Callithrix jacchus: one gene and its partners. The protein of the gene in region 3 interacts with the protein of the main gene of each other region in a biochemical or structural test. Links are inferred from orthologs where the notes say so. Each region holds a gene or a part of one and is shown on either strand. Other genes may lie near its edges. The genes, in order: NOSIP, KPNB1, KPNA1 and STAT1.

What was found.
Region 1: the proteins of KPNA1 (region 3) and NOSIP form a complex in vitro, tested with the Homo sapiens proteins (2 studies listed by BioGRID). The link is inferred for Callithrix jacchus from reciprocal best matches to the Homo sapiens genes KPNA1 and NOSIP.
Region 2: the proteins of KPNA1 (region 3) and KPNB1 form a complex in vitro, tested with the Homo sapiens proteins (6 studies listed by BioGRID and IntAct, with this or other methods). The link is inferred for Callithrix jacchus from reciprocal best matches to the Homo sapiens genes KPNA1 and KPNB1.
Region 4: the proteins of KPNA1 (region 3) and STAT1 form a complex in vitro, tested with the Homo sapiens proteins (2 studies listed by BioGRID). The link is inferred for Callithrix jacchus from reciprocal best matches to the Homo sapiens genes KPNA1 and STAT1.

Annotation. Positions count from the first base shown.
Region 1 is NC_133523.1:43,339,648-43,347,504, reverse strand, and holds the start of NOSIP (nitric oxide synthase-interacting protein), read left to right. Parts: upstream 1-1,564; 5' UTR 1,565-1,606; exon of another isoform or gene 1,607-1,799; intron 1,800-7,857. UniProt on the Homo sapiens protein: E3 ubiquitin-protein ligase that is essential for proper development of the forebrain, the eye, and the face. Catalyzes monoubiquitination of serine/threonine-protein phosphatase 2A (PP2A) catalytic subunit PPP2CA/PPP2CB.
Region 2 is NC_133506.1:118,624,696-118,631,756, forward strand, and holds part of KPNB1 (importin subunit beta-1), read right to left. Parts: intron 6,305-7,061; coding exon 6,174-6,304; intron 5,042-6,173; coding exon 4,894-5,041; intron 4,605-4,893; coding exon 4,533-4,604; intron 2,831-4,532; coding exon 2,686-2,830; intron 1,147-2,685; coding exon 1,064-1,146; intron 568-1,063; coding exon 460-567; intron 1-459.
Region 3 is NC_133516.1:80,573,995-80,581,055, reverse strand, and holds part of KPNA1 (importin subunit alpha-5), read right to left. Parts: intron 4,290-7,061; coding exon 4,158-4,289; intron 3,049-4,157; coding exon 2,960-3,048; intron 2,591-2,959; coding exon 2,491-2,590; intron 548-2,490; coding exon 384-547; intron 1-383. UniProt on the Homo sapiens protein: Functions in nuclear protein import as an adapter protein for nuclear receptor KPNB1. Binds specifically and directly to substrates containing either a simple or bipartite NLS motif.
Region 4 is NC_133507.1:37,806,064-37,813,124, forward strand, and holds part of STAT1 (signal transducer and activator of transcription 1-alpha/beta), read left to right. Parts: intron 1-882; coding exon 883-961; intron 962-2,023; coding exon 2,024-2,115; intron 2,116-2,327; coding exon 2,328-2,479; intron 2,480-5,090; coding exon 5,091-5,249; intron 5,250-6,288; exon of another isoform or gene 6,289-7,061. UniProt on the Homo sapiens protein: Signal transducer and transcription activator that mediates cellular responses to interferons (IFNs), cytokine KITLG/SCF and other cytokines and other growth factors.

The DNA of each region.
Region 1 (7,857 bases), on a different chromosome or scaffold from region 3:
GCTGGGATTACAGGCGCGCAACACCACACCCAGCTAATTTGTGTAGTTTTAGTAGAGATGAGGTCTCACCATGTTGGCCAAGCTGGTCTCAAACTACTGACCTCAAGTGATCGGCCCGTCTCGACCTCCCAAAGTGTAGGGATTACAGGCATGAGCCACCACACATAGCCAGGAATCCTATTATCCTCAATTTTAGAGGAGAGAAAACTGAGGTGCAGAGAGGTAAATTAACTTGCCCAAGGTCACACAGTGTGCAAGTGTGAGGGCCAGGATTTCAGTGAAGGCAGTGTCCACCAGAGAATAGAGCAGGGAGCTTATCTTTTTCTCCACTGTGTCTACAGCACCCGACCCAGGTGCTCATAAACATGTCCACTGGTGATCTGGACTCTTCCCTTCCTGGTAATTTCCACTTGTGCTTCTGTGTTCATTGTCACATCCATGCACAGACAACAAAGATTATGACAGAGGCAGAGGCCAGGGATTAAATATATTCTTGGGGGACCTAAGGGGGCAGGGGCCCTGGACTCCTAAGCCTAGGAGCCCCAGACTTCTGGGTCTCAGAGGGGCGGGGAACCAGGATGCCTGGGTCCCCAAGCCAAGCTCTTCCTCTGGGAACATTCACTTACCTGCCCAGACCTGTGAGCACTGCCCCTTCCACTTCAATCCGGACCTCCTTGGCTAGCTACAGCCACCTGTGAAGGGGGACAGGGAAGAGGGGAGGGTGGAGGAGGGGCGCCCCACTCCCGGTAACCAGGCCCGATCCCGGTTTCTGGCAGAGGGGCGGAGCTTGTTATTACCTGTCCTGGGCGGGACTCAGGTAAGGGACAAAGTATTTAAAGGGACCTTGGGATAAAGGACTTAAAGGCCGGAGCTCCCTGGGGGAGCCAAGGTGTCTAATACCTTGGGGCACTTGGGAGATGGGATTCGACCCTCCTCCTTTTTCCTCCCGACCCCTAACCGCTCCGCCTCTCCCCTGGGTGTTCGCCTGGCCAAGCTAGAAAAATCAATGTCTCCAGATATCAAGGTCTCTAGATATGCAGAAACTGGCGGGAACGATGTGCCGTAGTTCCTGGGACAGCTGACCAGTGCTGCAGTAAATCCCTGTTTCCTGAGGGCGACTGAAACGGCTTTCCCTTTCCATTTCCAATGGTTCTGTCCATAAAATGGGAGTGCAGTTGTCCCTTCTCCATTGTGTTTTAAGATGCAGCAAGAAAAGTGGATGATATATTTGGGAAAGAGGGCTTCCTAATCTCTAGGGGAAGTGGTTAGTCCTCAAATTTGGGCTTGGAGAAACTCAAAGCCTGGGCATCAAACAAGAAAAAACTAGCTCCCTGGGAAATGCCTAGTACATACTAAGCGTTCCCCATAGTCCCACCAGTTTCAATAACCGGAACCTTCGATTTGCCACTCACGTTTCCGGAGGGAGAAAGAGGAGACGAGAGGACTTGAAGAAGCCGGGCGAGGCACTTCCGCAACTAGGGGCACCTCTGCTTCCTGTGCCTTCGGCAGGGCGGAAGTGGGCGGAGCGGAGAGGGTAACCGGTGCTCCTTTCCGGTGTCCGGGCACAGTTGAAGAGGCGACCCAGGAACTGAGAGTCGTTCTTGAGGTGAGTTCGAGACGGTGTAGGAAGAGTGTTGCTGGGATCGCTTTCCTGCGGGCTAGAGGTCTGGGGTCTTGAGGGAGACCTGGGCAAGATTTTGGATTCCCGACTCCCTGTCGATCATTATTAATAGAGCTGTACGGGCGCCCCAAGTTTGAAGCTGAACTACACTCCCCTGGAGGTGGCCAACCGTCCATTGGTCAGTTCTCTCTCTCACTGTCACTATAAACTCAGCCAAGTGGTAGCTAGCAACGGCCAGTTCTCCGAGAGTTACAGTTCCGCTGTAGATGGCTATTTGCCGGCGGTCCCAAGGGAAACAGTGGACTGGGATTGCTGGGGGTCTAAGGAGTGGGAGTTGAGGGAAGAGAGCTCCTTCTCTGGTCTCAGTTTCCCCGACTGTGGTGGCACGGCGGGCGATACTAGATTGTCCAGTCGTCCATCGCCACCTTCTCTTCACCTTTCTGACAGTCCCTTCCCTCTCGGGGTGGGTACAGGGCTTCACGTTTTCCTGCGTGGAGCTTCCACGGGGTCCGGCAATCATACATTCACATTCTGATCGTGTGCTAATTCTGTGAACTTGGGGCTTGAGGGGGCCTTGAGGCAGTTGGATGTTAATGTTTTCTTATGAAGATGTTCAAACTTATATAAAAGTGAGAGAAGACATAGGAATTCCTGTCATCCAAATTTACCAATTATTATTTTGGCACTACTTGCTGTTTTTGTTTTTGTTTTTTTTTTGAGAGGGAATCTGGCTCTGTCGCCTAAGCTGGAGTGCAGTGGCACGATCTCGGTTCACTGCACCTGGTTCAAGTGATTCTCCTGCCTCAGCCTCTAGAGAAGCTGGGACTACACGTGCACACCACCACGCCCAGCTAATTTTTGTATTTTTTAGTAGAGACGGGGTTTCACCGTGTTAGCCAGGATGGTCTCGATCTCCTGACCTCCTGATCCACCTACCTCAGGCTCCCAACGTGCTGGGATTACAGATGTGAGTTACGGCACCCGGCGTATTTTTATTTTTTAACTTAAAGGATTAAAACAAATCCTAGGCATCATGACACTTCAGGATTGTCAAAAGACAAAATTACAACACATTTAGTGAGAAGATCTTAGTTGGCATTTATTTGTGAATCTAGAATGGGACATCAATTCTGGAAAATAGCACGAGTGTTCTCGATAAGCTGAGCAGAGGAGGAGGTTGTTTTCAGAGACAAAGGGCTGAGAAAAGCAGAAACAGAAAATGAAAAGCTAGTTGGTTAAATTGATTAACTTGATTAAATTTCTTAGTTAAGCTGGGCAAGGTGGCTCATGCCTGTAATCCCAGCACTTTGGGAGCCTGAGGCGGGCGGAGCACTTGAGGTTGGGAGTTCGAGACCAGCCTGACCAACATGGAGAAACCCTGTCTCTACTAAAAATACAAAATCAGCTGGGTGTGGTGGTGCGTGCCTGTAATCCCAGCTACTCGGGAGGCTGAGGCAGGAGAATTGCTCGAACCCAGGAGGCGGAGGTTGCAGTGAGCCAAGATCGTGCCATTGCACTGCAGCCTGGGCACAAGAGTGAAACTCTGTCTCAAAAAAAAATTATAAGTTAAGGGTTAAAGTAGAGGGGACTTCCTTTATCAGGTGGGCTAAAACTGGCCTGTTTGGGGATTTGGCTATTATTTCTCTCCTGATGTCTCAGAAGATCAGATGACAACTGAGTTTTGGCTTGGAAGCATGGACCTTCAGCATGAGTGACTCGCATTTTTGTTTGGTCTATTGAAGCTAGTGCAGGAGTTCGGTCCAAACCAATGGCCTCCTGTGAATTTTATCTACCAGGGTGCGTGTGTGTAAAAACCGGAAACACTGTTGACATGACTGCAATACTTTATCACAATACTTTTTAATCACACTTTACAAAAACAACCGTAATTCTAGGCTCCTGTCCACGAGTTGGTGCATAGTCAATCCAGGGTAACTGTGGGTTTGTTGGAATCAGGATGTAGTTAAGTGATTGCTACTGTCTTTGAAATCTCTCTTAATTTAGAACTGTTCCCCCTTCTGGCCCAGTTTGGTGGCTTTCACCTATAATCCTAGCACTTTGGGAGGCCGAGGCCAAGGCGGGTGGATCACGAGGTCAGGAGTTCAAGAGCAGACTGGCCAACATGGTGAAAACCCCGTCTCTACTAAAAAGTAGAGAAATCTGCTGGGCATGGTGGCATGTGCCTGCAATCCCAGCTACTTGGGAGGCTGAGGTTGGAGAACTGCTTGAACCGGGACCCGGGAGGTGGAGATTGCCGTGAACCAAGATCGCATTACTTCAGCCTGAGCTACAGAGCGATACTCCATCTCAAAAGAAAAAAAAAAAAGAACTGTTCCCCCTTCCACTCCAGTTTGTTTTTTTCTTGGTGAAATCAATTCAGTGAAGAAACTTAAGTCTAGTTCTGTTGATCATCCCACCATCTGAATTTGTCCGTTTGCTTTTTTTGTGGTCTTATTTTACTTGTTTCTCTTTTTTTATTTTAAACTATTTAAAAATAGAGATAGGGTCTTGCTATATTACCCAGACTGGTCTTAACCTCCTGGGCTCAAGTGATCCTCCTGCCTTGGCCTCCCGAAGTACTGGGATTACAGGTGTGAGCCATCGGTGCCCAGCCAGCCACTTTATTCTTTTGATGGCTGAATAATGTTCCTCTTGTTGCCCAGGCTGGAGTGCAATGTTTTGCTCTCGGCTCACCGCAACCTCTGCCTCCCAGGTTCAAGCAGTTCTCCTGCCTCAGCCTCCCAAGTAGCTGGAATTACAGGCATGTGCCACCATGGCCAGCTAATTTTGTATTTTTAGAGATGGGGTTTCTCCATGTTGGTCAGGCTGGTCTTGAATTCCCAACCTCAGGGCCTCCCAAAGTGCTGGGATTACAGGCGTGAGCCACCGTGCCCGAACTTCCACTTTTTACCTTTTATAAGTAACACTGCTAGCAACATTTGTATACAAGTTTTTGTGTGGCGTGAGCCACCGTGCCCGAACTTCCACTTTTTACCTTTTATAAGTAACACTGCTAGCAACATTTGTATACAAGTTTTTGTGTGGCGTGAGCCACCGTGCCCGAACTTCCACTTTTTACCTTTTATAAGTAACACTGCTAGCAACATTTGTATACAAGTTTTTGTGTGGACGATCTCGGCTCACCGCAACCTCCGCCTCCTGGGTTCTATTTTTATTTCTATTGGCAGTGGAATTGGTGGCTCAAAAGGTGAGTCTGTTTAATCTTTTGAGAAACTGACTTTTCCAAAATGGCTATACCATTTAACATTCCTACCACCAATGTATGAGGGTTCCAGTTTCTCCATATCTATACCAGCACTTATTATTATCTGTCTTTTTGATTTTAGTCATTCTAATTGGTATGAACTGGTATCTTTTACGGTCTTTATTGGCCATTTGTAGAACTTTGGAGAAATTTTTTTTTTTTTTTGAGACGGAGTTTCGCTGTTGTTACCCAGGCTGGAGTGCCATGGCGCGATCTCGGCTCACCGCAACCTCCGCCTCCTGGGTTCAAGCAATTCTCCTGCCTCAGCCTCCTGAGTAGCTGGGACTACAGGCACGTGCCACCATGCCCAGCTAATTTTTTTGTATTTTTCAATAGAGACGGGTTTCACCATGTTGACCAGGATGGTCTCGATCTCTTGACCTCGTGATCCACCCACCTCAGCCTCCCAAAGTGCTGGGATTATAGGTGTGAGGCACCGCGCCCAGCCAAGGGGTGTAAGTTTTTAATATATTCTCACTGCAATTCCCTTATCAGATATCCTGATTTTTTAAGAGGCAATGTCACTCTGTCACTCAGGCTGGAGTGCAGTGGTGCAGTGGCACAGTCATGACTCACTGCAGTCTCAACCCCCTGGGATCAAGTGATCCTCCTGCCTCAGCCTTCCGAGTAGTCACAGGCGCATGCCACTTTGCCCCACTAAGTTTTTACAATGTTTTTTTGTAGAGATGGGATCTTGCTGTGTTGCCCACAGCAAGTCCAAATCTGGTCTCAAACTTCTGGCTGCTGCTGGTTTATTTATTTATTTTTTGTAAAGTCACAGTTTCGCCATATTGCCCAGGGTGGTCTGGAACTCATGGGTCCGAGTGATCCTTTTGCCTTGGCCTCCCAAAGTGCTGTGTCCAGGTGTGAGCCAGAACCACCAGCAGATATCTTTTCTTTTTTTTTGAGACGGAGTCTTTTTCTGTCACCCAGGCTGGAGTGCAGTGGCCCAATCTCAGCTCACTGCAACCTCCACCTCCTGGGTTCAAGCAATTCTCCTGCCTTAGCCTCCCAAGTAGCTGGGACTACAGACGTGCACCACTATACCCGGCTAATTTTTATAATTTTAGTGGAGATAGGGTTTCACCCTATTGGCCAGGCTGGTCTTGAACTCCTGACCTTGTGATCTGCCTGCATCAGCCTCCCAAAGTGATGGGATTGCAGGTGAGAGCCAAAGCACCCAACCAAGGTATCTGACTTTTTAACTGCTACCTGTTTTTGTTCAGCTTGCAAACTAAGAATGGCTTTTAACATTTTTACATAACTGGTAAAAATCAAAAGAATGGACTTGGTGACCCATGACAATTATATGTGATTTTTTGTCAGAGTCTATAAATACAGTTTATTTTTATTATTTATTATTTATTTATTTATTTATTTTTTTGAGACGGAGTTTCACTCTTGTTACCCAGGCTGGAGTGCAATGGCGTGATCTTGGCTCACCGCAACCTCCGCCTCCTGGGTTCAAGCAATTCTTCTGCCTCAGCCTCCCGAGTAGCTGGGATTACAGGCACTCGCCACCATGCCCAGCTAATTTTTTATATTTTTAGTACAGACAGGGTTTCACCATGTTGACCAAGATGGTCTTGATCTCCTGACCTCGTGATCCACCCGACTCAGCCTCCCAAAGTGCTGAGATTACAGGCTTGAGCCACCGTGCCCGGCCCTATTTTTTATTTATTTTTTTTAGATGGAGTTTCGCTCTTGTTACCCAGACTGGAGTGCAATGGCGCGATCTCGGCTCACCGCAACCTCCGCCTTCTGGGTTCAAGCAATTCTCCTGCCTCAGCCTCCCGAGTAGCTGGGACTACAGGCGCACACCACCATGCCCAGCTCTTTTTTGTATTTTTAGTAGAGACGGGGTTTCACCTTGTTGACCAGGATGGTCTTGATCTCCTGACCTCGTGATCCACCTGCCTCGGCCTCCCAAAGTGCTGAGATTACAGGCTTGAGCCACCGCGCCCGGCCTTAAATACAGTGTAATTGGAACACAGCCAGGCCTGTTTGTGTGTCTGTGGCTCCTTTTATGCTACAGGGGCAGAGTGGAGTATTTACAGGGGCTGTGACTCTCCGGCCCTTTTTTGTTATTCCCTCCTGTAGAATCCGGAAACTGAATGTAACGGCTTGATTAAGTTTCAGTTCCGCTGTTGGGTGACTCCTTCAGAGCTGGCCCCTTCATTGTTGTGTACTGCCTAGGTGTCCGGTTTCAGGGGTGGTGAAATTCATCCAAACTTCAGGGAACGTTATATACTGAATGCCCCCCAGATTCGTCTGGCCCCAACATGATTATATTTGGAGGTAGAGCCTTCATGGAAATAATGAAGGTGAATGGGTGGGGCCCTGATTCATTGCTGTTTTTATGAAAGGAGGAGGCTGGGCGCGGTGGCTCATGCTTGTAATCCCAGCACTTTGGGAGGCCGAGGCAGGTGGATCACCTGAGGTCAGGCATTCGAGACCAGTCTGGCCAACATGGCAGAACTGTCTCTACTAAAAATATAGAAATTAGCTGGGCCTGATGGTGGATACCTGTAATTCCAGCTACTTGGGAGGCTGAGGCAGGAGATCATTGAACTAGGGAGGTGATTACAGTGGGCGGAGGTGCCGCCGCACTCCAGCCTCGGTGACAGAGTGAGACTCCTCAGAAAAGAGGAGACACCAGAGAGGTGGTTCCTCTGCCACTGAAGGCAGCCTCCTGCAAACCGGGAAGAGGGCGTCACCAGAACCCCACCATGCTGGCAGCCTGAATGCAGACTTCCAGCCTCAGAAACTGGAGGAAATCAGTCTATGGTTTGAGCCACCCAGAGTGGTATTTTATGGCAGCCGGAGCAGACGGAGACAGGCGGCAGCCATCGAAAACCACATCGTAAAGCTCCAACTATGTCTCTTCCCGTAGCAAGAATTAGCATCCTGTGAATATCCGGCCCCACCAGCCTCTCCCTTAATGCCATCCATCAACGGTCAGTGCCCGAGT
Region 2 (7,061 bases), on a different chromosome or scaffold from region 3:
CATAATCTGTGAAATGAACAACTCCTCTCTTTATGAGCCCACAGACAATGTTATAGAAACTTACAGCTCCGTGTTCCTGATGTTGATTTTTTTTGGTGTGGGGGGGGCGCGCGACAAAGTTTCACTCTTTCCAGGCTGGAGTGCCATGGTGCGGTCTTGACTCACCACAACCTCCGCCTCTCAGGTACAAGTGATTCTTCTGCCAAAGCCTCCCAAGTAGCTGGGATTACAGGTACCTGCCACCACGCCCAGTTAGTTTTTGTAGTAGAGACAGGGTTTCACCATGTTGGCCAGGCTGGTCTTGAACTTCTGACTTTGTGATCCACCCATCTCATACTTCCAAAGTGCTGGGATTACAGGTATGAGCCATCACAGATGGCCTGATGTTGACATTTAACTGTCTTTCCAACTGTTGATTTCTTCAAAGACTGGTTATTTAGATTGTGTGTAGACACTCACCCCCAAATTTTCCAGAAGCAGCTGCATCACCTCATCACAGAAAGGTATGATGTTGGATTGCAGGGCACGGCATAAGTCTCCCACTAAGCCCACAGCTGCCAAACAAACCTGCCAAGAATCAAGGATATAATCTTTAACAAAAAGGCTGCCTGCTGGGGTAAGATATTACTTTTACCTAGCTACTGGGCCTTTATCACTTGAACCTAAAGTCAAAGGAGAAAACATCTTCCCTCTGCCTAATTTTTTAACAACCAATACAGCAGGAAGTGAACAAACACTGAGAGATATTACTGACAAAAGTAAAAAAAAAAAAAAAAAGCCTTGCTCTCCAGGGTGCTGATAACTCAACTTTATGGCTGCCCCTGCATCAGTACTGTCTAGGCCAATAAACAGTCATCTTGTAAGCCTTTATCTGGTGCATCTAATAACTTGTTTTTCATGGACTACTTCCAGTTGAAATGCTTAGGCAATGAATAAAGCAGCTTGCTTTTTAGGACAATGTATAAGGGAAAAACTACCTAAGGTATAAGAACCTGGTTTTATCTGCACTACAGTGACTCTCAGGTATAAATGAGAATATATTATTTTAAAAAGCATATCCTACCTGGTACTCAGCATAATTTTTTAATCCAATGCCCAGGAAGGGTTTAAAAGCCTCCATGTATTTGAGAAATTCACCTCCCAACACTGTAATGAAACAAACTATTAGTCAATGACAGCACCATGGGGTAACAGAGTAGGCCAAAATAACCCATCCTACCTCTCCCAAAATGGACTCGGCTCCACTCAACAGGTCAGGTGGAATGTGAGTCAGTTACGGATTCTATCATGAAGACATTGAAGGCTTACATAAGCCACATTTATTACTGCTGGAAAGGCCCTAATTCTTACGCCACAGAGACAATGCTAACTCTCCACAGAATAGGGCTTTTCTCTGGCTAACACAACAAAAAGGTATGGACCTCAAGGAATATGGAGGTTAATTTTAAATGGGCTAAACCAGCAATACTGCCTCTTGTCCACCCCCTCATCTGATAATAGCGTGTCCTTTCTGCAGACCAGCTTCAATGCAGGGTCCTTCAGCAATCCCATCAAGGGCTTAACAAGTCACGGTAAGGAAAAGCAGCACTGGGCTTCAGATCCAAATCAGCCACCTCAGGAGCCAAAATTAACTTCCTTGCCCTTTCAGAAGGGTGGTCAAATGTTGACAGACCAGTTGGACATAGACTGTTTATGCCAAAAATAGGTCTGGTCCTCAGGAGAGTGGTCCTTAGGTAAATGGCCTTAGTAATGTACTTATAAGCCACCCCTGAAGAGGCATTCCAGATTCTAAGTGCTTTGTAATGGCCCTTCAAAAAGTCTTAAGTCAGATATGGCTTCCCTAAAGCAATGTCGCAGTCACACATGTAAAAATCAGAAAATCAATTCCTAGAATGTGCTCAATGCTTCATTTCATCCCATACCAGGCACCATGATGTGTCAATCTGAGCCCAAAGCATTACAACCCAAACCAGGTGATTGCAATAGAAGGTAAAAAAAGGAAGAAAATAGAAACTTTTGGCTGGGCACAGTGGCTCATGCCTATAATCCAAGCTACTCAGGAGGCGGAGGCAGGAGAATCGCTTGATCCTGGGAGGCAAAGGTTGTGGTTAGCTCATGTTACTGTACCCCAGCCAGGGCAACAGCAAGACTCCATTTCAAACAACAACAAAAAAACACTCAGCCAATCTTAGCTGCAAACTGACTCCACATTTAAACAGACTGACAAGGCAGTAAGGCAGTTATACAAATTTACACTTAAGTTCAATCTAACTTTGAAGTGACTCATGCCCCAGTAGAAGGACTATGCTTTCTGTAGTTAAAAATCCTTTAACGTCCTGGCATGGTGGCTCACATCTATAATTCTAGCACTTTGGGAGGCTGAGGCAGAAGCATCACTTGACTCAGGAGTTTGAGACCAGCATGGGCAACACGGCGAAACCCCGTCTCTACCAAAAATATAAAAAATTAGCCAGGCATGGTGGTGTGCATCTGTAGTCTTAGCTACTGGTGTGTCGGGGGTGGGGGTGGGGGCTCAGGTGGAAGAATCACTTGATCCCAGGATGTGGAAGCTGCAGTGTGCCAAGATCATGATACGGCACTCCAGCCTGGGTGACAATTATTTAAGGCCACTGAAATGCCTGCATTCTAAAGACATTCCCTGACCAGACAGTATTTTTCACTGACCTTCCACCAGTGTGCTAACTGCCATCAGGGCATCCTCTTGTACTCCCCCAGAGCCAGCTGTGCTTTGGAACATCCTTAACAGGGAGGCCATGACCACATCAGAGATCTGCAATGCATCTTGATGTTGCACTTTCCGAAGAACATTCTGTGAAATGAGTAAGAGTTCAAGATCAGTTGATTCCCAATCTCCCAATCAGAACAGTATACCTTCTTTTTAAAAATCAATTAAGTCCTTTGACTTTCTTTTGTGAATGCCAAATGTACTTTTTATACTAAAAAACTCTGATAATACCAATCATTAACAATACTTTTTTTTTTTTTTTTTTTTTTTGAGATGCAGTTTAACTCGTCGCCCAGGCTGGAGTGCAATGGCGCAATCTCGACTCACCGCAACCTCAGCCTCCCGGGTTCAAGCAATTCTCCTGCCTCAGCCTCCCAAGTAGCTGGGATCACAGGCGCACACCACCACACCTGGCTGATTTTTTGTATTTTAATAGAGACAAAGTTTCCCCATGTTGGTCAGGCTGGTCTCGAACTCCCAATCTGAGCTGATCCGCCCACCTCAGCCTCCCAAAGTGCTGGGATTACAGGTATGAGCCACTGCACCCAGCCCTCTCCCTACTTTTTTGTTTTTAAGACAGAGTCTCACTCTGTTGCCCAGGCTGGAGTATAGTGGTGTTATCTTGGCTCACTGCAACCTCCGCCTCCCGGGTTCAAGCAATTCTTGTGCCTCAGTCTCCCAGTAGCTCGGATTACAGGCACACAACACACTGTGTCAAGCTAATTTTTGTATTTTTAGTAGAGACAGGGTTTTACCATGTTGGCCAGGCTGATCTCAAACTCTTGACCTCAGATATCTACCCACCTTGGCCTCCCAAAATGCTAGGATTACAGGGGTGAGCCACTGTGCCCAGCCAGCAATACATTTTAACATTCCCCAGTTTCTGAATTTCTCAATTCAGAACCAATGTGAGCTGATCCTCCATTGTGCAGAAGGTCATGTCTGCATTTTATTTGCCTTAGTGTCTGACAAATCCATGCTGGTAGCCTCCATAGTCTAGTCTTACTAGATAGTTAAATTACTTGAGCTTTAAAAAAGCCCTGTTACCTTAGAGCTCTTTTTAATAAAACAAACAAAAAGCAACCCTTCCTATATCCTACCCATTTACAGATGGTCTAGAAATAATCTTGATAAAAATCAAACCAACTTGACTTCTCTCAATTCAATATACATTCATCAAACATTCCTTCTTCTTGTTTCAATTAATGTCACTGACAATAGGTCAAACAGCAAATGTTTCAAAAGATGATGGTACAAACTCAAGGCTTTATTTTTAGTCAAGTGAACTATAGCTGGGAACCAAATATGACTGAGCTAGGCTCGAATAACTTAATTAAAAACCAAGAGTTCTTTTGGTTTTCAAAATCAAAAAACCAAAACCATTCAAGCTGTCAACACAAACCAGCTATACAGCTGGGAGGAACCATCAAACATCAAGTAGTTTACTTCTCTACACTGAGACATTAGTTGAAACAAACAAGAGTGAGGAAGGGAGGTTTGATGAGTGTACACTGAGTTGGGAGAAGTCAAGTTGATTTGAGTTTATCAAGATTATATCTAGACCATCTATAAATAAAGTAGGATTTGAATCTTTCTAGACAGTGAGGAAAGGCCGGTGGGAAATTCCTCTCCCAATTCATCAATCACAGACCAAAGTCTTCTGAGAACAGCTTCTGATCAGCATCATCGATACCATTTTTGAGTTCTGTGTATACATGAACTTGTCATACTGAGATATTAATTATCTTTCCTGGAGTTACTAAGAAATGATATAGCACCATAATACCTGAAGAGTTGCGCAGAGTAAAGACTGAAGGTCATTGAACTGGATTCTATCGGATGTGCTCTGGATATGTGACTACAAGGAAAAGAAGAAAACATACTCTACGTAACCATTCAATAATCTTCCCTAATGCCAACACAGGAAAGTAAACAACAACAACAAACCCACAATATATATAACACATGTCTGAGTAAACCATGACAAGCAATGCTAACGTTAAGGTGTAATTTTTTTTAAATAAACTTCATATCCTTCTGAGAAAATATATAAACACCAAAAAGACAGAACAGTCTGGAAAATAGACCTAGGTGTCCAAAGTACTGCCCTATTCCCACCCATAGTCAGGGGCCTTCTTAGGTCTCACCTCCATCTGAAGCACCTGCTGCAGTCGCTCCATGATGACCAAAGTCGTTTTCTGGACAGCAGGGTAACAATCCTTGGCACTGTTTTTCACAATTTCCATCAGAGATTCATATGCAGAACTCCTCAGGTTGTTCTGGTGTCCATCGGGTCTGTAAAGAACACAGCGAAAATCTTAAAGGCTCAACTGAGGGGAAAGGACAGAGAATAATACAGAGAATATAGACACTGTCTTGCCAGAAATAAGAACTCAGAAACTGGTATGACTGCAGACATGGTTTGAGTTTGGAAACACAATATCTAATAACCAAATCTTCAAGTCCTTTGAGCCAACAGTTATGTTCATTATGGTCTCCAGACAGCTAAAATTTAGAACGGTCCTTTAGGAAATGAGCTAAAATTACAGAGGGAAAAATGGTTTGAAATGGTAAAGAACCATGTTAACAATTTAACAGGTTGTCTGAATAGCTATGAAGAAAATACCCCAATTTTCTTGGGTACAGGTGACTCACACCTGTAATCCCAGAACTTAGGAGGCCGAGGTGGGCAGATCACCTGAGGTGTCAGGAGTTTGTGACCAGCCTGGCCAACATGGTGAAACCTCATCTCTACTGAAAGTATAAAAATTAGCCAGGCACATTGGTGGGCACCTGTAGTCCCAGCTATGTGGGAGGCTGAGGTATGAGAATCACTCGAACCTGGGAGGTTGCAGTTAGCCAAGATCACACCATTGCACTCCAGCCTCGGTGACAGGAGCGTGACTCTGTCTCAAAAACTAAAGGAAAAAAAAAAACATTTTGTGCTCAGCTCCCTTCCTGAAGGTTTACTTTGTTCATGACTTTAGGTATAGCTGACATAAAGCATGAATCATTAAAGGTTGTCTCCAACTTATAATCCCCTTTAAACAACATTTCAAAAGCTTGTTTATAAGTCAACTGTATTCACCCCAAGTTCTTGATCCCATATAAAAATATGGTAGTTGTCGGGGAAATTAGCTGGCTATGGTGGTGTGTGCCTGTAATCCCAGCTACTCAGGAGGCTGACACGGAAGAATTGCTTGAACCCAGGAGGTGGAGGTTGTGGTGAGCCGAGATCGTGCCATTGCACTCCAGCCTGGGTAAAGAGAGCGAAACTCCGTCTCAAAAAAAAAAAAGAGAGAGAGAGAAGGTAGAGTCGTGTCCTTTCTCACTATGCTTCTATAATTAAGCTACATATCTCCTCCACACAGAAGGCACCAGAACTTAGATGCGAAGATGTCCCTCATTTTCATGGAATATCAGTTACCTGTCTGTAGTCTCCAGGAGCTTCTGAACTATGAGTTCAAATGAAGAAGATAAACAGTAAGTCGCTGGTTCCTCCTGATCATCAGCAACATCTGCAGCTTCATAAGCAGCTTCAGCCAGACTCGAGAATGCCTGAAATGCAGGTAAGTTTAATGTTAGTTCTGAAATAACCCAACACCTTAGGATTATCTCATTTTTCATTAAGATACTTTCGGGCTGTGTCAGTGAACCTCCAATTTTTTTTTGGTAAGGTCATCTCAAGACAACATTTTACAGGTATCTTTTAAATTAACTATTTGATTTGTACTTTCTGTTCCTCCTGTCTGATAATCAGACAACTCTCTAAGCAGCAGAGTATTTTCAGCAACAACTGCCATTTCATTTCTTATGCTTTCAATCACAAAAATCCTGTCTGATAACTGATAATCTGACAACTCTCTAAGCATCAGAGTACTTTCAGCAATAACTGCCATTTCATTTAGTCTGTGTCCATTCACAGAAAGACTCTGAGCCCCATTCCTTCCTTATTTGAACCTCCTCCCCTTAACAAATTACATTAGGCCATACTGACTCAGCATTGAGGCTACCTACCTTCCTTCCCGCTTGCTCTCTTCTCAGCAATTATAGTTCTTGTAGCCAACAACTCTCTACCTTAATCAAAACTTTTTGTCCCCAAGTAATTTAAGAAAGCAAGCCAAGTCCAGATAGTTTCCCCACTGGGTTCCCATGACTGTTTTAAGTGGTTCAGGAACCGGTAACCATGAGTCAACTGCTCCCACTGGCTCTTGCAGTTGAAATCTCCCCCACATTTTAACTGAATAAATTAGAAAGAAAATGCTATTCAGAAAAAAGCCTTCCAGTGAGGCAGATCCACTTCTCTCCCACACCT
Region 3 (7,061 bases):
AAGATTCAGTTTCTGATACTTGTCTTAAATAAGCTCTAAATGAGACAGAAAGATAAGGAATGACTATTTTATTGGCAGTGTATCTTCTGATGTCCAGTGGTTGATCTCGGGTCATCCAGTATGAGACTGTAACTACACAGATCAGAGTTTTCCAAATATTTCTGCTAAAGGCCTGCTAACAGCAGAGGAGTAAGAGGTTCTCTATAAGCCTCAATAAAACAAGACAAACAGATCTGCCATCAACATAAACAAGTAACAAAAAATAGTAGCCCAAAGCACAATAAACCAATATAATATACAATCAATTAATATTTAAGTATTAGTAGCTAGAAAACTAGTACCAAGGGAAAAAAAGTGAACACACTTTCTAAAACATATCTTACATCAGCAGCTCCACAAGTCTCCTACATACTCCCGCATCAATGACTGCTTGAATTTTATCATTGGGTCCATCTGATAGATATGAGAGGGCCCAGCAGGCATCAGCCAGTACATCAGTGTCACTGACAAACAGCAACCAGGAAAGCACATTCAGACATGGGGAAACCTATAAAAGGAAAATGATGATTATGAAATCCAACAGACTAGAAGCCAGAAGTGAGGTGAGATACTCAAGAAGGCAGCCAGGCATAAATTTGGTGACTTCTTGAGTGATTTACACTTCTCAAGAAACAACAAGTACCTAAGTGGCAGTTCCATCTTTAACAATGCTGTCAGTGGTCTTGCACTAATTTGTAGTCAGAGCCCAAGGAAATTAATTTCAGATCATAAAGTTTTATATACATCAATTCTTGGAGTGAGATTCCTTGTCAAAACACATTCTTTGTGGACTAAAGAGGTAAAGAAACTTTCAAAAATGTGAAAGCTAAGAAATTCTGTATTTTAGATACTTTAGACCAAAAATGCTAGGGTTTTAAGATGAATTCAGTGAAAAATGATTCCAAATTAAAAACAACTACCAAAAAAAAATCCTGTTTCTTCTAATATGCAAAATATACAAGAAACTCAAATCAGCAAGAAAAAAACAATCCCATCAAAAAGTGGGCTAAGGACACAGACGATTCTCTAAAGAAGATATACAAATAGCCAAAAACCATTTAAAAATGCTCATCGCTCATCACTAATTATCAGGGAAATGCAAATTGAAACCACAATGTTATACCATCTTACTCCTGCAAGAATTGCTATAATCAAAAAATCAAAACAGGCGGGATGTGGTGGCTCATGCCTGTAATCCCAGCACTTTGGGAGGCTGAGGTGGGTGGATCACCTGAGGTCAGGAGTTCAAGACCAGCCTGGCCAGCATGGTGAAACCCCATCTCTACTAAAAATACAAAAATCAGCCGGGCATGGTGGTGTGTGCCCATCATCCCAGCTACTCAGGAGGCTGAGGCAGGAGAATCGCCTGATCCTGGGAGGTGGAGGTTGCAGTGTGCTGCACAACTGCACTCCAGCCTGGGCAACAAGAGCGAAACCCTGTCTCAAAAAAACAAAAACACGATAAATGTTGGCATGGATGTGGTGAAAAGGGGAATGTAAATTAGTATAACCACTATGGAAAATAGTACAGAGATTCCTTAAAGAACTGAAAGTAGATCTGCCATTTGATCCAGCAATTCCACTGCTACAAACGTGCACAGATACTTGCACACGCATATTTACAGCAGCACAATTCACAATTGCAAAATTATGGAAACAGCCCAAATGCCCATCAATCAACAAGTAGATAAAGAAACTGTGATATATATACCATAGAATACTGCTCAGCCATAAACAGAAACAAAACAACGGCATTTGCAGCAACCTGGATGGAACTGGAGACCATTATTCTAAGTAAAGTAACTCAGGAATGGAAAACCAAACATCAGATGTTCTCATTCATAAGTGGGATGTAAGCTATGAGGGCACAAAAGCATGAGATTGATACAATAAACTTTGGGGATTCTGGGGTAAAGGATGAGAGGTAGGTGAGAAATACAAGACTAGACAGTGGGTACTCTGTACACTGCTTGGGTGATGGGTGCACCAAAATCTCAAAAATCACCACTAAACAACTTACTCATGTACCCAAACACCTGATCTGTTCCCCTAAAACCTACTGCAAAAAAAAAAAAAAAAAAAAAATCTCATGGACTCCCAGACTATACTTTGAGAACCACTGTTTTAGGAGAACTGAAGAGTCTCTTAATACAGTATACTAATTGTATGAAGTCTCATTTCAATGAGCTTTACAAATTCTCCCTTTATGCTATGCTTTTATTTATTTGCAGCCCCTACATAAATGTGCATCTTCAAGCTATGCTTTAAATTTGCTTTTCAAATAATAAAGGGAACCAAAAAAAAAAACAAAAACCCTGTTTCTCCAAAAACAGATAAAATTCTAACATTTTAAGTTTTAACAAAAATTATCTTTCTGTTCACCTTACTATTGGTTGCTATACTCTTATAATTGCATTTTTTCTGCCAATGTCCCAAAAGCACAGTCCTTACCTTTGCAAATTCTGGAGGTGGACTTTTCCCTCTACAGAGGTTAGACAAAGCCCATACTGCATTCCGGGTCATGGTCAGGCGGTTTTGCTTTGAAAATAACCTATAAGCATGATGGTACAATGGTAAACTATATAATAGACATTGATTCTCTGAAAACATAATATAAATACTAAGTAATAGTACTTTTGATAAAGAGATGTCTTCAGATAGCTTTTCCCCAGAACATTAAAACTTCATTAATTCTGATACAAGTAATTCAGAATTTTGACATGAGAGAAAGATAGAGTGCTTAAGGGAATGATCTTTTTTTCCCCTCGTTTTTTCCTTTTTTCTGAGGAAATGATCTAAACAAGAAAATGTCTGGAATGAAAAATAACAACAGAAAATCCAAAATGATTTCCAGAGATGCACTGCTTTCTGAGGAATCTCTTATGTTTTTATTGTCAAAAAGGAAGAAGAAGAAACTTACTGCAAAAGAGGGGGAAGGATATTGCAGTCTAAGACATAGTCCCTGCACATGGTACTATCTCCAGCAATGTTGCCAAGAGCCCAGACTGCCTGTGAAAGAATCATTAATAAAAGTTATGTACTCCCTTCTAATTCTTTCAGATGCCAGTATATCACAGTAACACATTCATCAGGGAGTCAAATGAAACAGTTGTGTGGTTGGAGGAAGAAGATAAATAATATTCTAAAGTGTATAATAAACTAAAGGTATTCAGTTTATTAAAGGAAAGAACCAATTTCTTTTCTTTTTTTTTTTTTTTTGGTGACGGAGTCTCGCTCTGTCACCCAGTATCGAGTAAAACACGGTGAAACCCCATCTTTACTAAAAATACAAAATTAGCCGGGTGTGGTGGCAGATGCCTGTAATCCCAGCTACTGAAGAGGCTGAGGCACAAGAATTGCTTAAACCTGAGAGACAGAGGTTGCAGTGAGCCAAGATCGTGCCACTGCACTCCAGCCTGGGTGACAGAGACTCCATTAAAAAAAAAAGGTATTTTTCTGGCTTACAAAATAAAACAGTGAAACAAACTATTTTCTGCACAAAAGTGATAAAAACTTACTACTTTCTTTTGAGCTAGGTCTCCTTCTGTTACCGAGGCTGGAGTGTGGTGCTGTGATCTCAGCTCACTGCAGCCTCTCTGCCTCCTGGAGCTCATTCAAGTGAACCTCCCACCTCAGTCTCCCAAGTAACTAGGACCACAGGTGTGCAACACCATGCCCACCTAATTTTTTTTTTCGGTGGAAATGAGGTTTCATCATTTTGCCCTGAGTGGTTGAGTTCCTGGGCTCAAGCAATCTGCCCACCTCAGCCTCCCAAGTGGTGGAATTACAGGTGTGAGCCACAGTGCCTGGCCTACTTTCAACACTGGAAATTTCTACAAGCAAAAACCTCTACTAGTAACTGCTTACAAGGTTTAGAAAGTACATACTCAGGGCTTAAAGAATGTCAGGTTTGGAAGGGGAAGATTATTTTATGTGTCTAAGAAAAATTCTGCCTACACTCACTAAGAAATTTTCTATTTGGTTAAGACTAGATTTCTAGAACACTCCTTTGTGACAATCCATAGATTATCAAAGCCAACTGGTAAAACTCAATCCCTGAATATGATTGAAGGGAAAAATGTTATTCTTTCACCTGCTTCTTTCTGTTTCATTTTTACCTGTTCCTGGACATCTTCAAACTCTGAGCTGAGCAACTCTATGAAGATGGGCACAGCTCCTGCCTGAATCACAATCCGGGTCTGTAGAGAATTTCCTGAAGCAATATTTGTCAGTACCCAAGCTGATTCAAACTACAAAGATAAAAATAATTTTCATTATCTTTTGAGAATGTAAAGCTTTTTTACTTATAACAGTAACTCTTTCTGAACATGTAAAAAAAGATTCTGAGATCATTATTTACACATAACCTATCAGTTGAGTACTATATTAATTTTAAAAGAATTTCCAGAAGAAACACCTCAACCTAGAAGAATATTCAGGGTGTCTGAAATTTCAGTTCAAGATAGAGTGGACATGACACCATAAAAAGAATGAGACAGTGTTACAAATGTTGATATGGAATGATCTGCAAAGATATAAACGAAAACAAAATGCAAACAGTGTACATTAATATGACATTATACCATATTTTCTTTCTTTTTTTTTTTTTTTTTGAGACGGAGTTTTGCTCTTGATACCCAGGCTGGAGTGCAATGGTACGATCTCAGCTCACCGCAACCTCTGCCACCTGGGTTCAGGCAATTCTCCTGCCTCAGCCTCCCGAATAGCTGGGATTACAGGCACACACCACCATGCCCAGCTAATTTTTTGTATTTTTAGTAGAGACGGGGTTTCACCATGTTGACCAGGATGGTCTCAATCTCTTGACCTCGTGATCCACCCGCCTCGGCCTCCCAAAGTGCTGGGATTACAGGTGTGAGCCACCGCACCCGGCCCCACATTTTCTAAAAGTATTACAAGGAATACATGCATTAACTTACTAATTGCACAGATTATCTCTAGAAGGAGTTATAGGAAACTAAATACTTGTTGGCTGCAGGGAAAGGTCATGATAACTAGGGAACAAGGATGAAAAAAACACTTATCAGTGGAAAGCCTTATGTGCCTTTTGGCCTGTACCATGCATGCTATCTAATAAAAAAAACTTTAAAACTTCTGTAGAATGGGCAAAGTAAAATGGGGAGAAAATGTTAGTGTAAAACATAATGTACAGGCACAGTGAGAAAAGCAAAAGGTATCAAATGTTAAGCAGGTCAAAGGAGTTAAGCATATAATGAAAAGAAATGACAACTTCAAAGCATAAGAGCTTCCCATAAATGAGAGAAATCCAAACCAAAGTACAGAGATAGGACTTTTTAAAAGAGCATTCTTAACAGGGATTGAAAAAAACGAAGGTAAATTGACCAAAGGTTGATATGCAGCATTACAGCACTGGTAAACAGAAGACATAAAGAAAATTATGACCAACAAAAAATAGAGCATACTACTCAAATATATCTCTAACACTAAATTGACTATTTAGACTAATATTCAGAAATCTGAGAATTAACTCTTTTCTATTTAGTTAAGAGTTTTTAATTACATTTCAGGTTGTTTCTTCCACCTTTCTGTCTTCTACTTAATACAGCACATACACAGAAAAAAAAAATCCATGGTATGTCCTTTAAATCAGAGAAAATAACAAGTCATAATTAAATGACCTGTGATTCCTCTAAGCTTTGAGATTAACTAAAAGGCAGCTGACAGGTAGAAAACTAAATTCATTAATCTTTGGGAATAGACAAAGTCAGAGGAAATGGGCAATCTGATCAAATCACATTCAAAGATATATAACGATAGAAAATTAACAGCAGAAGAAACATAATAAATGGATGTTCCAAAGAAAACTATTAAAGTGACATAATGATTGAGGTAAGGTGGTTTAGTAGTAGCAGGGGGGCCCAGATGAGAAGCACTTCTGTTAAAGAGCCCACATCTGGTCGCTTTTTGTTATGACATAAATTCTGAATTTTCAGATTAAACCCCAAATATCATGAAATAAAAACTCTTCACATATTCATCTCTATAATTAAATTCCTAATGAAAGCAACACTCAGACTGTTTCAGTACGCCTAAATTACAACTTGACATCTGTACCATACTTTATATACTCAAGGCACTATTCACATACTCGCAGATGATCCCTACAACAACCCAGAGAGGTAAGGTATCTGGCTTTTCTCGTGTACAAATGAGGAAACTATCCGAAAAAAATCCAACAATTTAATGATTCAAGTAATGTTACACAGGTAAGGAGAACGGCTAAGTTCCAGCCACTCAATCTAATACATTATGAAGCCCAGTCATAGTTTCCTCTCTAATACGTAATGCTGGCACAGAAATATTTCAATTGCTTGTAGTTTGGATATCTAGTGCAAGAAATTTTAAATAACAGTATGCCAGATTATTTATACTAAAAAAGAAAAAACAAGTTCACCTAAAATGTAGTTTTCTTTTGACGACAAGGAAAATTAATTTGTAAACCAGAGTCATATGATGTAAGTATAAAATCAAACTGTCCCACCACAAGGCAGGCTGAAAGTTGAATAAACACAACAGATACGCAAATATCAAGTCAAAGAAATGAAAACTGTAAGGAAAAGTAACCTGAAAAAAATAAGATCAGCATACATGCCATCTATAACAAAGAAAAAGAGGATTATAGTGAGATTTTGATGCAAAAGAAATTATAATAACCTAGGTACATAGGAATATAGTACAGAGTTATTGGTGAGAAAAAATTACTTAGAATACTAATTGGTGCCAGCGTTCAAACTGCTATTTTGAGTTTAGCACCAAAGTCTCAGGGGAAATGAGGGAGAATTCAAGAAGCTACGCAAATTAATAAAACAGAAAAGCAAAACAATTTGAGTGATAATAACTAAGAAAATGAAAAACAAGTGAATAGCCTAAATACAGACGGTAAAAAAGAGAGAGAGAAATTGGAACATCTTAACAAAAGAATAACATGCCGGTTATGTTCATCACTAAGTAGTACACAATGATAACCTCTGAGTGCAAAG
Region 4 (7,061 bases), on a different chromosome or scaffold from region 3:
CAAACAAGGCTTATTTGTAGAGTGAACATACAATTTATTGTCCAGATGGAGATGCATTTGAGCCAGCAGGAGGCCACTGTTTATAGAAAGTATGAAACTAGGTCTCTGCCAGTAAAGCAGGGATGTATGGTCACTTTTCTTATTGGAAAGGAGTGAGAAGATTTTCCATGAGCTTTTTATCCCTGTTGTGTGCTTCATAGTGGAGTTCTTAAATCGTGTCTCAGAGGTACTTAAATTGAGTTACTTAAGTATTTAAGTAACTCAGAGTTCTTTCTTTTTTTTTTTTTTTTGAGACGGAGTTTCGCTCTTGTTACCCAGGCTGGAGTGCAATGGCACGATCTCAGCTCACCTCAACCTCCGCCTCCTGGGTTCAGGCAATTCTGCCTCAGCCTCCGGAGTAGCTTGGATTACAGGCACACACCACCATGCCCAGCTAGTTTTTTATATTTTTAGTAGAGATGGGGTTTCACCGTGTTGACCAGGATGGTCTCAATCTCGACCTCGTGATCCACCCGCCTCGGACTCCCAAAGTGCTGGGATTACAGGCTTGAGCTACTGCGCCCGGCCTCCGAGTTCTTAAATTGTATCTCTCAAAAATGAGGAGGAAGAATCAAAATATTGGCCCTGAAACCAGGTTAAGAACATACAAATCAGTTTGAGAATTATTATACATTTGCTTTTTTTTAAAGTGTTATTACATACTTGTTAATGAAATATAAGTAATTTCATGTATATGATTAGACCTCTCCAAGTCAGATCTCTTTTTGAGGGAGCTGGAACTGTTTTCACGTTTCTCGGGGTTCCATAGGAACAAAACTCTGTTTTCTAAAGTCTTTGGAAGTCGCTGATCAGTAGAAAATATGTTTATGTCTTTATTTGTAGTGTATAGAGCATGAAATCAAGAACCTGGAAGATTTACAAGATGAGTATGACTTTAAATGCAAAACCTTGCAGAACAGAGGTAAGGCTTCACAATTGAAGGGGTGCCCATTGGCTGTAATTTTTTCTGTTCACACTAGATAGCGAATATGATTACTGCTTTTTATTTGCCAATTATTTTATGACTCTGAATTGTTCCTTGATAACCCAAGCCAGGGTTCCTTAACATCCAGTACCATTCATGTTTTAGGGCAGATAATTTGTTGTGGGGGCTGTCCTGGCATTGTAGAGTGTTCAACAGCATCCCTGACTTCTACCCACCAGATGCCAGTGGCACTAGCCAGGAACCCTCACTAGTGACAACCAAAATTGTCTTCAAACAATGCAAAAAGTCCCCTGGGGTCAGTGACCCATACTTGATAACCACGGGTTATGTGTTACTCACCTTTGAATTGCGTGTAGTCCACTGATTCATGCAGAGTGACAGAATGTGGAGTTCCCCTGCCCTAATATCTGAAGTTTCTTCAAACATTGCAGGTCCATTGTATACATGGCAGATAAGCTCAGTATTTTTCTCATGTTTTAAAGCAGTGTTACTCTATTTTGTTACTGTTGCTTGTTCTTAATGAGAGTAGCAACCAAAGATAACTCAAGATTGTGTGTTGTACAGAATATGTGGTGTACTACTGTTACTATATTCATCATCTGGCGTATACAACGGTTCATAGGCAGATTATAAGTATGATTTGGGTAAAAAGTATGAGAGACAGCGACTTCAACTACCACTTTATAATCATCTACTTCTCTTCAAAACCTACAGATATGCTTTGCATACATTTTTTTAACTGCAGTTTTGAACTTTGTTATGTACGTTTATTTAGGAAATTATCTGCCAGTGACTGCAGTGGCAGATACTACTATGTCTGATTTAGATGGGTCACTGAAAACAAGCGTTCTGTTTCAGTGTGTCTAGTTGTTATCCTTAGGACTTGTTTTCATGTTTAATAAAGATGGAAGAAAGCCAAACTTTGACCTGTCTCTAGGCGGCATCTGTATCTATTTATCCTAAGTTATATTATCTTGGCTTTTGTTGGTTTTGTCTTATTTATGTAAATATATTTACTGGCTGTCTCTCAATTTATAGAACACGAGACCAATGGTGTGGCGAAGAGTGATCAGAAACAAGAACAGCTGTTACTCAAGAAGATGTATTTAATGCTTGACAATAAAAGAAAGGTAGTTATTTACTTTCCAGAATAGCATGCTGCTTTTGTTACAGACTATGCATAATGGACTCAATTTCAGAAGAGAGGAAACATTATTTTTTTAACCCCCTTGCTTAGAACCCCAGTTGAGAATGAAACGATACTTGCTTTTCTTTTAAAAAATATTTGAAAATTCAGTGATTAAAAATGAATTTATTTCACTATTTCTTCCACTGCCTTTAGGAAGTAGTTCACAAAATAATAGAGTTGTTGAATGTCACTGAACTTACCCAGAATGCCCTGATTAACGATGAACTAGTGGAGTGGAAGCAGAGACAGCAGAGCGCCTGTATTGGGGGGCCACCCAATGCTTGCCTGGATCAACTGCAGAACTGGTAAGATTCTCCAAAGTGGAAAACCAGCAGCTGACTAGCTAACCACATAAGCTCATCAATGCCCCTTTGAGCTGTGTTGAATGGACCTTGTCAAAATGTTGGTATAGAGTTTGATGTAGTCCAGCTTCTGCTTACCCTGGACACAGTCCCTTGGAAAGCACAGTGTTATTCATGACTCTTGCCACATTCAGCCACGTCTGCTTGGTGTGGAGCAGTCCTGTGCCATGGGATGTGTTGTTTGATTGTACAACACCTCAGTGACATGGTCATTATAGAACACAATTAACAACTTGATTCCTAATGTTTCATTCAAAACAAGATAGCTTGAGGCATTTTTCCAGGCTTACATGAATAGTTTGTCGGGAGTCATCCATCCAGTAATACTTATTAAATGACTACCACGTGCCAGGCACTGTACTAGGACCTGGGCACACAAGGATGAATGATTCTTGGCCCTTGGCAACAAGGACTTGTTGGTGTGGAGGAGGGATGTAGACATGGTAAAAATTCTGTGCAGTAGAAATTTCCAGGTGCTCTAACAAAAGGCCATCAGAGTTCTGAGGAGGACAAAGGAAAGCATCTCCAGGGAAGGTTTCATAGAGGAAATGGCCTTGCACTGACTCAAGAGTGACTGGGCTTTTTCCACGTAGAGGAGAAGTGCTTTCCAGCACAGAGAACAGCATGTGCAAAGGCACACATGTGGGAGCCTGAAGGGGCTGTCTGTATTGGGTGGCTGGAGAGTGATGTCAGGTGAGACGGGAAGAAAAGTGGACCTGGCAGGAGCTGCTGGAACCTAACGGTGGAGGTTCTCACACCATGCTAGGAATGGAACGGGGGCCGTGTGTACCCATACTGCTGAGCCAAGGCAGCCTTTTTTCTTAAGCAGGAGGTATATTTCTCTGATCTTTGATTTAGAAAGGGCACTCTAGCCACACAGCCTGTAGGACAGGACAGAGATAGAAAGACCAGTTGGAATACTATTCGCATATTAGTGTGGTCCAGGTAAGAGTCAACAGCGGTTGCACTTGGGATCACAGAGTGAATATGAAGGAATGGTGGCCTGGGCCCATTGTAAAGGGTCCAAGGATCGGAGACCTCACGAAGTTATTTTCTGTATTGCTAATTTTTTTTAAAAATCACAATTAATATTCAGCCATTTATTTTTATTCTGTGAATTGCCTGTAGGTGCCCCAGATTTCTTGTGGATTAGAGCAGAGCTTCTGAGCCCAGTACACGCCATGTGTCTTGAGGAATGCTGACACCCCTAAGCCTTTCGGGTGGCCAGAGAGGCCCTGGGGTGTGTAGAGCCCCCTAGTGGACCTCTTAGACCACAGGCGCCTCTTCTAGGGGACATATATGCCCTCTAGTTTTCCCACTGTGCTTTGTAAGGATTGTCGTTTTCTCTGTGTGCAGAGTTGGGGACACTGGTTTAGCATGTCCTCTGGAACTCAGGCAACTGTTATCCTGCCTTCTCCTTTCCTGACGAATGGCTGCTGTCCCAGGGCTTTGAACTGGAATCGAGAAAGTGAAGTAGATACTTTTCTCAGCGAAGAAGACACTTGTAAAAAGTTTTCTTCTGTCATTACTGCAAGCGAATAAAACTGTGTTTCCCCTGCCTGTTTTACTGTTAGCAGTTGACTGAAGGGAAGGAAGACTAAGAGCAAGTACTAGGTGTACTCACTGGCATTATATTTTTAGGGTCGAGACTGAGCATATGCCTTCTTTCAGTCGAGTGAAACCGGAATCGTTGTTCCTCCCTCACCTCCCGTCCTTGCTTGGCCTTGCCTCCCCTCTCTCCCACTCTGTGCCACATCTCTGACTGGTCCTGCCGAGACACTGCTTGCTGATGCTACTGTCTTGACAGAACCTGCAGTGGCTCCTCGCTGCCTCTTGCATCACCTGGAAGCATCTGCTTTGCTGTTTTCCCTGCCTCTGGCTTCTTCTTTCCCCTGCTTCAGTCACACGTCACCCAGAAGCCCAGCCCACACTCATCTCTCCTTACTTAGACCTCAGTGGTGTGCCGAACTTTTTGATCTAGGCTGTAATCATTCAGTCATGTTAGTTTTTCTCCTCAAATAACAAAGCTTCTAGCACTGGCACAAGCCTCTTTCCCCTTGTTTCTCCCTAGAGCGCAGAGCACAATATCCTGATAACATTTTGTGTGGCACATAACAACTTGTTGGTTTCCATAGGATATGGTTTGGCCATGTCCCCACCCAAATCTCACCTTAAATTGTAGTAATCCCTGTGTGTCAAGGGCAGAGCCAGGTAGAGACAATTGAATTGAGGGGGGTGGTTTCCTTCATACTGTTCTCGTGGGAGTGAGTAAGCCTCAAGATGGTTTTATAAAAGGGAGTTTTCCTGCACACGCCCTCTTGCCTGCCTCCATGTAAGATGTGACTTTGCTCCTTATTTGCCTTCTGCCATGATTTGGGGGCCTCCCCAGCCATGTGGAACTATGTGTCAATTAAACTGCTTCCTTTATAAAGGTCCCAGTCTCGGGCATGTCTATTAGCAGCGTAAGAATGGACTAATACATTAAGACTCCCTTGAATCCAGGCTGCTTCTGGACTGTTTCTCATAAAGACATCTGTGTCTCATACCTTTCCAGGTTCACTATAGTTGCGGAGAGTCTGCAGCAAGTTCGGCAGCAGCTTAAAAAGCTGGAGGAACTGGAACAGAAATACACCTATGAACATGACCCTATCACAAAAAACAAACAAGTGTTATGGGACCGCACCTTCAGTCTGTTCCAGCAACTCATTCAGAGGTAACTCGAGGGACATTTATTTGTACCTTCTGTAATCAGTTCTTACAGAGGAACATTTTACTGTAATTTGGATGATTTAGAAAGGTTTAGTAGGTTATATAAAATTTTTTTAGTGACAGTGACTCTTCCTGAATTCTTTGGTTATACCAGTGGCCCTTCACTCTTATGGCCACCTAGGCTGGAATCTGTAGACACCTTTCACTCTTCCTTCCCCTGTGACCAGGTCTCTGCCATAACCCTAGCATGTCTCACCACCTCCTCTCCCCTCCTCATGTCTCAGCCTCTTAAATCCTCTTTTCTGGACTCTTCCCCAGCCTCCCTACCAGTCCCCCATCCCAGTCCTTCCTCCCTATGTCCAGTGCTGTCCCTGAGCGGAGTTCCATTCTGGTTTCTCATCACCCTCTGATCCAAGTGAAGCCCCTCAGCTGGGCATTCATGGCCCCCCTTCTGCAGCGTGGACCTGGCTGACCACTCCATGCTTCATGTCCACACATGCCTCTTTCTAGGCAAATTTGACCTCTTGCTAATTCCTATAGGGGCCATGCTGCACACTTGCTTCTCAGTGCCTCTCCTGAGGATATGTCATCCTCCTCAGAGCCTTCTTTTCTTGTACCTACTTTCAAATTTGTATCATCCTGCAAGCTTCCGCTTGTATCTCATCATGAAATCTTTCCAAATTTCCCAAACAGATGTTATCTCCCTTCCTGGCCTACAGTCATCCTTCATTCCTCTCCTACTGTGCCTTTTGTTACATGGTTGTTATATATTTCTTTATATTTGTTGACTATCATAAGGTTCTGGACAGTAGAGACATGCTTTTTTCAACCTTTTCCCCCAGCAGGACCTAGCACAGTGCCTTGTGAATAGTAGGTGCTCTAGACAGGCTTAGTACATAGATAAATGTCACTGAGTGGAAAAGAAGGCTTCATATTGCAAACTTGACATAATAAAAATGTAATTTGTTTTTTAATGCAAACTTGAAGTAGTAAAAATGTACTTGATTCTGGGTGGAAGCGATAGCTGAGTGACGGCGGCTGCTGATTGTATTCTAGCGGACGGAGTTGGGGAAGACGTTTGCTCTCCTGGAACAGCCTATCCCATTCCTTTCCTTCAGTTGCCCATGGTGCAGAGAGTCAGGGCAGCTGTAGCAGCAAGGGTGGCTGTGGCAGTGGTGGCAGCTACAGTGACATGTCCACCATGAATCCCAAATACAATTATTTATTCAAGTTACTTCTGCTTGGCAACTCTGAGGTTGGAAAGCCTTGCCTCCTTCTTAGGTTTTGCGGTTGATACATATACAGAAAGCTACATCAGCACAATTGGTGTGGATTTCAAAATAAGAACTATAGAGTTTCATGGAAATCAATCTTCAAATATGGAAGACAGCAGCCCAGGGACGATTTTGAACAGTCGTTTCCAGTTATTACAAAGGAGCCAGTGGCATCCTAGTTGTATATAATGTGACCGATCAGGAGTCCTTCAATAATGTTAAACAGTGGCTGCAGAAAATAGATCGTTATGCCCGTGAAAACGTCTACAAATTGTTGGTAGAGAACAAGTGTGATCTGCCCACAAAGAAAGTAGCAGACTATACAACAGCAAAGGAATTTGCTGATTCCCTTGGAATTTCGTTTTTGGAAACCGGTGCTAAGAATGCAACAAATGTAGAACAGTCTTTCATGACGATTGCAGCCGTGATTGAAAAGCTAATGAGTCCTGGAACAACAGCTGGTGGTGCTGCGGCCAGTGTTAAAATTCAGAGCACTCTGGTCAAGCAGTCAGGTGGAGGTTGCTGCTAAAATTTGCCTCCAT